2 linked regions of the Ovis aries genome follow. The protein of the gene in region 1 interacts with the protein of each later gene in a pairwise test. Links are inferred from orthologs where the notes say so. Each region holds a gene or a part of one and is shown on either strand. Other genes may lie near its edges.

Region 1 (3,668 bases):
CACCCTGCCTGGTCTTGCCTCTGTGCCTCCCTCACCCCATCCCCTCCCCCTCAGGCTGGGCCACTCTGTACCTTTCCAGGACTGGGCGCTGGGAGGGGGCGTGGCCACCTTGAGAGCCAGCCCATAGGCTCCTTGGAATGAATGACTGTCCCTGATCAGGAAGGCCCCAGGGTCTTTGTCCTTCAGCAGGGTGATGGCTGGGGGAGGCAGGAGAAGCTTTCACAGGGGCAGACCAAGCCCCAGGCAGCCCCTCCGCTCTGCTGCCCGAGCCCCCCAGACCTCTGGCCCTGACAGCTGTGGTGTCAGCACCCAGGATGCCACTGGGGAGTCAGTGCACTGGGCACTGAGCAGGTGAGACCTCCTCGGGCCTAAAACCCAGAATCATCTGCTAGAAAGAGGCTCGGCCCAGAGGAGGCCCACTGATGAAGTGGCACAAACCAGAAGCTGAGCCAGAGGCCCGGAGGGAGTAGGGGCAGGCTGGCTTCTCACCTTGGTCACGGGACAGGTGTGGCTTGTACCAGAACTTGGATGTGTCCTGGACAAACTTGACATTGCTCTGGCTCTCTTGCATCGGGGGCTCTAGAACAGGGAGGGACTAAGCTTTACCCCAGGGCTCCCCAGTCCCCATGCCATGCCCCTCCCTGGAAACCAGGGTTCTCCTAAGGTGGCCCCAGCCTCCTGAAGGCCTTTATACCTGGGGGTTGGGGGGCATTATCCGGGAGCAGAGGTGCAAAAGTGACATGGTGACTAGCGCCTCTGGCTGGTGGTGATGCCTGCTCCGGGCCCCAGGGTCCCGGCTGCTGCCCAGGCCCCAGCAGATGGCGTTTCTCAGGAAGGGGGGGTTGGGGGGGGCCGTTGATGTCGTAAGATGCAGCCAGAGGAAAGGCAGGTGTGGGCGAGCTCTGAGGGGGTTCTGGGCTGGCCACAAGCCAGGGCATCTGAGTAGGCACAGGGGTGAGGGGGGACCCATCCGGGCTGTCTGGGGGATCTCGCAGGCCCTGCCAAGGGGCATGACGGAGGCCGGGCAGGGTGTTGGGTACAGGCCCCCTTGGACTGGTGCTGTCCAAGCGGCCCCCCAGGCTCCTCTCCTGAGGCCAGTCGTTGGGAGAGCTGGGTGGGGAGGCTGAGGAGAAGGCGCCAGGGGCTGGAGGCTCAGGCCCACTTCCCGCAGGCAGCTCTGGAGCCTTATCAGCGCCTCCCTGGGAAACAGGCGGCAAGGCCTCCGCGGGACTCAGTCTCTGAGTGGGCGCCAAGGTGGGGGACCGGGTGTCCTGCCGTCGGGTGCTGCAGGGAGGGAGGGCGGGCAGTTTAGTTGGGTTGCAGAGCCCTGTGTGAGGTGCCTGCCAACACAGGCTTCAGTGTCTACCCAGATAAGGAGGCCCCTGAGCTGCCCAGCCCCACGAAGCACCTCTCCTTGCCCTGGACGGGGCTGCTGGTGTGCAGCGGTGTGGAAGGACCAGACAGCTCGGAAGCGGTGCTGCACTGGGCATCTCGCGGGGACCGGGGCAGGGTGCTGTGCCCGCTGGGACTCTCCCTCCAGGACACAGGCTCCGGCGACTCTGCAGGGAGAGAAGGGGTTGTAGCTCTTCCTCAGTCTGTGCTTTCCCCACCATTCCCCAGAACCCTCTTCTGCCCTGGGCATCCCCCTTCCCAGGGCCTCACCTGGAGATGCCAAGGGTCCTGCTGGGGCCAGGTGCCCAGGCAGCGGATACCGGTCCCCTCCTTCCTCTGCAGGGATCTCATAGCTCAGCTTCCTGGACTGGGGGTAGGGCGGGCTGCCAGGGGAGATGGAGCCAGCCCGGGGGGAGTGGGCACGAGGGCTGGGATACCCTCTACCCTCACCTGGAGACCCACAGCTGTGCGGCACCCGGCCGTATGCTGGGCAGCAGCTGGGAACTGCGCCTCCATAGCCGTACGTCACCAGGGCAGGGTACCCTGGGTGCCCATACCTGCCCTCGGGGCACAAGGCATAGGAGCAGCCCTCATGCCCTTCCTCGCCTGCCTTCGGTGGCTTCAAGCAGCTGTAGTCAGGCAGCGGGGTATGGTGGTGCCCGCAGGCAGGCACCAGCAGGGGCAGCGGGTGCCCGGGTCGCACCGGGTGCAGGAGGGGCTTACCAGCCTCACTCGCCCAGCCCTCCCCAGCCTCCCTCTCCAGCCGCAGCCCATAGAGGGCTGCCGTGGGCAGTGCTAGCTTCTCCTCACAGGCAGGGCACGAGCACAGTGCAGGCAGCCCTGGGTCTTCCAGGATCACCACCTCCCGGTAGCCTGGGGGGCGGTAGCCAAAGTCTCCATTGGTGGGTTTCCCCAGCTCAGGCGGGTAGGGGTACGGCCCCTCGGACAGCGAGCGGCAGAGGCGCCTCTTCTCCACGGAGGGCTCAGCATAGCCCTGGGGGGCCCCCTCATAGGCTCCGAAAGCCAGCCGCCGCCTCTCCAGGGTCCCCTCTGGCCGGTAGTAGCCTCCATTGGGGACCCCGCAGGGTTCCCGGTAGCCCTGGCGGCAGGAGCAGTGGCGGCTGAGGCCAGGCCTGTGTCCTGAATATATTCCGAGGTGGGGGCCTCCGCCCGCAGCGGGCTGGTCTTCATCATCAAGGATGGCCGTCTCGCGCCCAGCTCCCCGGCCCCCACTGGCCACTCCACAGCCTCCCAGCAGGCGCTCGAGCTCCTGCCGCTCGGCAGCCGTCGGAGGTGGCCGGCCAGGGGACTCGGCGGCCGGCTCCGTGGTCAGCGTGGAGGAATGGCCAGAGTCGCTGCTGACAGAAAGCAGCGGGGGTGGGGGTGGCTCCGGAGATGGGGCCGGTGGGGTCTGGCGGGGGGCTCGCTGCACCTGGGCATAAGGACTGCCATCCAGGGGCCCCCGGGTGTGGGTGACAGAGTCTGAGTGGGGAGAGGATCCGGGCGGTATAGCAAGCAGGCCACAGTGGCGGGGGGAGAGAGAGAGAGAGAGAAACAGACAAAGCGCGTGTGTTAACAGGGGATGGTGCCGGAGACTCCAGCTCGGGGGTGTCTCTTGGGAGGGTGTCTGTCTAGGGAGGGAAGCATGTCCCCCCACAGGAAGCTCCACCTCCCTCCCCCTCTGGGGGCACCCCACACACCATCCGCACTGTCCTCATGGTGCAGGTTGAAGTTCTCGTAGGAGTCCCAGCGCACTGCGGGCTCTGCAGTGTTGTAGTCGACAGAGACGGAGGGCTCATTCCGTGGGGTGCTACCTATAGAAGGGCGCCCCGGGGGTGAGGAGCAGGGAGACAACCCCTGCCCCCTGCCCCCTGCCAGGCTTGGCTCTTACCTTTGATCTTCTCTGGGCTGGAGGAGAAGACGAACTCCACCGAGGCTTGGAAGGGGAACCTCTCGTCTGTGGGGAGTGGACAGTGAGGAGCAGGTGACCCCCTCCCTGCCCTTACCCACCTGCCTGCCTTCACCCGGGCTCCAGCCCCCAGGCCACTTGTCTCCAACTCACCGGCCCAGGCCTCATCCAACTGGTCCTTGGAGAAGATGAGCCGTGGTCCATGGATAGTGCATGTGTGGAACTGGACTCGGAATACGAGGGTCCGGTCAGTCCCCCGGCTACCCTTGTGATAGCATGTTACCTGGGGGAGGGGAGGGAGACCAGCATTCAGGCTCTGTGTCCACACACGTCTCCTCTGTGCTTCTACCCTGGGGACTATCTGGGT
Region 2 (4,585 bases), on another chromosome or scaffold:
TGGAGAGCAGGGACGGAACTCTGGACTTACGCACCGCTCTGGACGCAAACACGTACGTGGAGCCGGAAGTGGACGTGGGCATGGAGCCGGAAGTGGACGTGGGCATGGAGCAGGAGGTGGACTTTGCCGCAGTGATGGATCTGGACATTGGTCCAAACGCCGCGGAGGACGGAAGCTTGGAAGTGGACACGGCTCTGCACGTTGTCTCAGATCCGGGCAGGAGGTACCCCAGGAGGGTCGAGGGGCACAACTCTCAGAGCAGCGTCTGATGGGAGGAATCTGAACAGAACACTTCTGGGGGGGAACCTGCCTGGGGCAGCGAGGGGAGGAAATCTCTATTCGGCACTTGGGTCCACATCTCTGAGAGCAGCCCAAAGTGGGACGCCGAGAACAGTCACTGTTATAGATGGGCTCAGAGCGGCGGGGTGGGGTACAGTAGTTATAGGAGCCCGGAGAACATCTTGACGGCAGGCAGCTACTGCTGTAGTAGGGCTCGGAACGTCGTGGTGGGGAGCAGCTGCGGTAAGAAGGCTGCAGCTGGCGAGGAGGGAGGCACCTGCTGGTGCTCCGAGAGCGACTCTGTGCAGGAAAGCTCCCATAAGAGCCCCGGGTCTGGCACTGGGGCTCACAGGTGCTAAATGAAGCCCGGGACTGGCGCTGGGGGGCGCAGCTGCTGTAGGAGCCTTGATACTGGCACTGGGTGGAGAATCTTCCCTGAGGCTGGCACACCAGGGGACCTGTTACATAAGTCTGGACAGGCTGAGGTGCCAGGCAGGGTACATAGCTCTGGCCTGGGCATTCCACATAACAAGTTTCTGTATAATGAACGGGAGCACATTCTACATAGCAGGTCTGCACAGGGCATGGGCCTTCACACTGCACATAGGAAACCTCAGACTGGCATGGAGCCTGGCATTGAACACATGTAATCTGAGGCTGGCTTGGAGCCTGACCCTTCACCTGGGTGGTCTTAGACTGGCATGGAGCTTGGCCCTTCACCTGGGTGGTCTTAGACTTGCATGGAGGTTGGCCCTTCACCTGGGTGGTCTTAGACTGGCATGGAGCTTGGCCCTTCACCTCTGTAGTTTTAGACTGACATGGAGCCTGGCATTTTACCTGGGGAATTTGAACTGGGCATGGTGCAGGGCACTCCACAATTTGCATCTCGCAGGGGGCTTGGACCACCACCTGGCTGTTGGCACAAGGGGATTGGGAGATGCAGAAGGGGGAACATGCCACACAATACTGGGGGTGCGGCTGGTAACACTGAATCTGCTGCTGGTCACACATGGTTTTGATGCAGACAGGTAAATAGACCTGAGGGTAGAAAGACCAAGATCAGGAAGATGAGAGTTGCTGGGGAGTGGTGAGCAGGACCAAGGGGCAGACACCCTGCTTCTTTCCTGGCCTTTCCTCCCATACCTTCAGCTTGTACCCAAGAATCCTTACAGAGTGAGCTCAACCCAAGATTAGTCACCGTTGCCTACAAAATCTGCCTTGAGTCTTCCAAAAGACCTGATCTGAGGGAGCTTCAAAGGACTGCAAATGGGCATTCCAGTGTCCAGCACAAGAGGGCGCTGATGACAAGAGAATTCCCTCACTTCATCAAGTCCTAAGAGGTGGGACAGGGAGGCCTGGCGAGCTGCGATTCATGTGGTCTCGAAGAGTCGAAGAGTCCGACAGGACTGAGCGACTGAACTGAACTGAACTGAAGAGGTGGGAGGGAGCTTTATATGAAGTAGAGAGAAATCTTCCTCCCAAGGCTGTAGCCCGAAATGGGAACCCCACACCCACAGGAGCTTGGATGTCCTCAAGCACTCACACTGGCAACTTGCACATATGTGCAAACATGCAAAAGGGTACATATGGGAGCAAGCCCTCAGGACTTCCCAGGTGGCTCAGCGGTAAAGAAACTGCCTGCAGTGCAGGGGACACGGGTTTGATCCCTGTGTCAGGAAGAGCCCCTGGAAGAGGAAATGGCAACCCACTCCAGTATTCTTTTTGCCTGAAAAATCCCATGGACAAAGAAGCCTGGCAGGCTACAGTCTATAGGGTTGCAAAAAGTGAGGCACAACTCTGTGACTATGCACGCATGCACTCAGGCACCATCTGCGCTCAAAGAAAGTATCCACTGTAGATTAAAGGATCCAGTCACTTACCGGACAGCTCAAACCCAGCATAAAATGTTTGTTTCTTTCTATTCAATCTTTTTAAGTGAATTTACAAGCCCTCATGGACATATGCAAAACACGCACATACCAAATACACCAACCTTGGAAAGGCTCAGGACCATCTTGGAAACTTACCTAGGCAGATTCCTGATGTCAGTCACCTCAACTGGGACAGTCTGCTAGTTTCAGAAATGTTTTCTCCCCAGCCCCTCTGAGAAGCAAGGCACAGTTACCTAAAATAGGATGACCCAGAAAGTGCAAGTTTCCTAAATCACAAGACTGACATTCAGGCACACATAAAGCTCTAAATAGCAGAGTGTTACAAACACGATGTAGGGGTGCAGGCATGCTTCCCAACAGCATACTTAGCCAGGGAGAAACTGAGGGACATCCCCAATCCTCTGTCCTCCTCAAATCTGCCTGTTCACAGGCATCAGCCCAGTGACCAGCACAGCACGGAGACTGTTTTGACAGTTAGTCCACATCTCAAACACATCTCTGTGAGCTCCTGAGATACTGACATACTTATAATGAAGAGCAAAGCCTTCTACTGTCTATTTGTACAGCCTGTCTAAGTATACATGTCCTTGAGGAAGGTAACCCTCTTACATACATGTCTGCTCACAAGATGTAAATTAAATTAATAATGCATCTTTCCAGAGAAAGAGGTCCTGATGCAAGAAAATGGTACCTACAGATAAGTCCATGGTAATCCAAGACAAATACACTGACTTCATTGTCCCAGGTTTTCACCCCAACTCCGTAGATATTCTTCCTCCATCCTCTAAGAGCCCTCCAGACTGTTCTCCTCTGAAGGAGTACCTCTCTTTTTCTGGCCCCAGGGTCCGTCCTCACTGTGCCTCATCCTTGTGAATCTGGGAACCCCATGGGCATCGTCCAGACCCCAATCCCAAGACCCAACCCCTAGACTCACCCTCCTCACAGGCAAGCAGTCATTCAGGCTGAGGAATCTGAAGACAAGACTGTTTATAAAGGCTTCTGAGTCTGGCTTAGACCATGAGACAACTGGTTGGCATCTGCCAGGCATCACCCAATTCCAGCAGCCAGTCACCTCCCTGTATGTTTGTCCTTGCAGTCACCTGTAGAATGTGGGAGTGTCTCACCTTAGTGTCAAAGCCTCTGAACTATGAAGGAGCAGGTCCTTGTTTTCTTCCTCCTTCTTCACGCTGTCAGTTTTTTCTCCATTGCTAGAAGACCTGGTTAAGAGGATGATGAGGCATGGCAAAGACATCTTTTCTCTTGAAAGATGATTCCAGGCCCCTACATTCCCTAACCAGGTAGAGAAAATGGAAGAAAACTCCCTTTTTAAATTAAATAACAGATAATTCACTTCAGTTCAGTCATTCAATTGTGTCCAACTATTTTCAACCCTGTGGACTGCAGCACACCAGGCTTCCCTGTCCATCTCCCAGAGCTTAATCAAACTCATGTCCATTGAGTCAGTGATGCCATCCAACTGTCTCATCCTCTGCCATCCGCTTCTCCTCCTGCTTTCAGTCTTTCCCAGCATCAGGGTCTTTTCCAATGAGTCAGTTCTTTGTATCAGGTGGCCAGAGTTTTGGAGTTTCAGCTTCAGCATCCGTCCTTCCAGTGAATATTCAGGACTGATTTCCTTGGGATGGACTGGTTGGATCTCCTTGCAGTCCAAGGGGCTCTCAAGAGTCTTCTCCAACACCACAGTTCAAAAGCATCGATTCTTCAGCACGTGGCTTTCTTTATGGTCCAACTCTCACATCCATACATGACTACTGGAAAAACCAGAGCTTTGACTAGACGGACCTTTGTTGGCAAAGTAATGTCTCTGCTTTGTAATATTTTGTCTAGGTTGGTCATAACTTTTCTTCCAAGGAGCAAGCATTTTTAAATTTCATGACTGCAGTCACCATTTGCAGTGATTTTGGAGCCCAAAAGAAATAAAGCCTGTCACTGTTTCCTTTATTTCCCCATTTATTTGCCATGAAGTGATGGGACCAGATGCCATGATCTTAGTTTTCTGAATGTTGAGCTTTAAGCCAACTTTTCACTCTCCTCTTTCACTTTCATCAGGAAGCTCTTTAGTTCTTTGCTTTCTTCCATAAGGGTGGTGTCATCTGCATATCTGAGGTTATTGATATTTCTCCTAGCAATCTTGATTCCAGCTTGTGCTTCATCCAGCCCAGCATTTCTCATGATGTACTCTGCACATAAGTTAAATAAGCAGGGTGACAATATACAGCCTGGCGTACTCCTCTTCCAATTTGGAACCAGTCTGTTGCTCCATGTCCAGTTCTAGCTGGTGCTTCTTGACCTGCATACAGATTCCTCAGGAGGCAGGTCAGGTGGTCTGACATTCCCATCTCTTTAAGAATTTTCCAGAGTTTGTGGTGGAACTTGACACAGTATAATGCTTTGGC

The links.
Region 2: the proteins of TNS2 (region 1) and KPRP interact in binary tests that used the Homo sapiens proteins (3 or more experiments, as listed by UniProt). The two-hybrid records come from large-scale screens. The link is inferred for Ovis aries from reciprocal best matches to the Homo sapiens genes TNS2 and KPRP.

What each region holds. Positions count from the first base shown.
Region 1 is NC_056056.1:133,380,812-133,384,479, forward strand, and holds part of TNS2 (tensin-2), read right to left. Parts: intron 3,585-3,668; coding exon 3,455-3,584; intron 3,350-3,454; coding exon 3,284-3,349; intron 3,207-3,283; coding exon 3,093-3,206; intron 2,875-3,092; coding exon 1,663-2,874; intron 1,560-1,662; coding exon 1,409-1,559; intron 1,285-1,408; coding exon 695-1,284; intron 580-694; coding exon 490-579; intron 198-489; coding exon 72-197; intron 1-71. UniProt on the Homo sapiens protein: Tyrosine-protein phosphatase which regulates cell motility, proliferation and muscle-response to insulin. Phosphatase activity is mediated by binding to phosphatidylinositol-3,4,5-triphosphate (PtdIns(3,4,5)P3) via the SH2 domain.
Region 2 is NC_056054.1:102,716,143-102,720,727, reverse strand, and holds the start of KPRP (keratinocyte proline-rich protein), read right to left. Parts: upstream 3,136-4,585; 5' UTR 3,106-3,135; intron 2,405-3,105; 5' UTR 2,307-2,404; intron 1,318-2,306; 5' UTR 1,291-1,317; coding exon 1-1,290.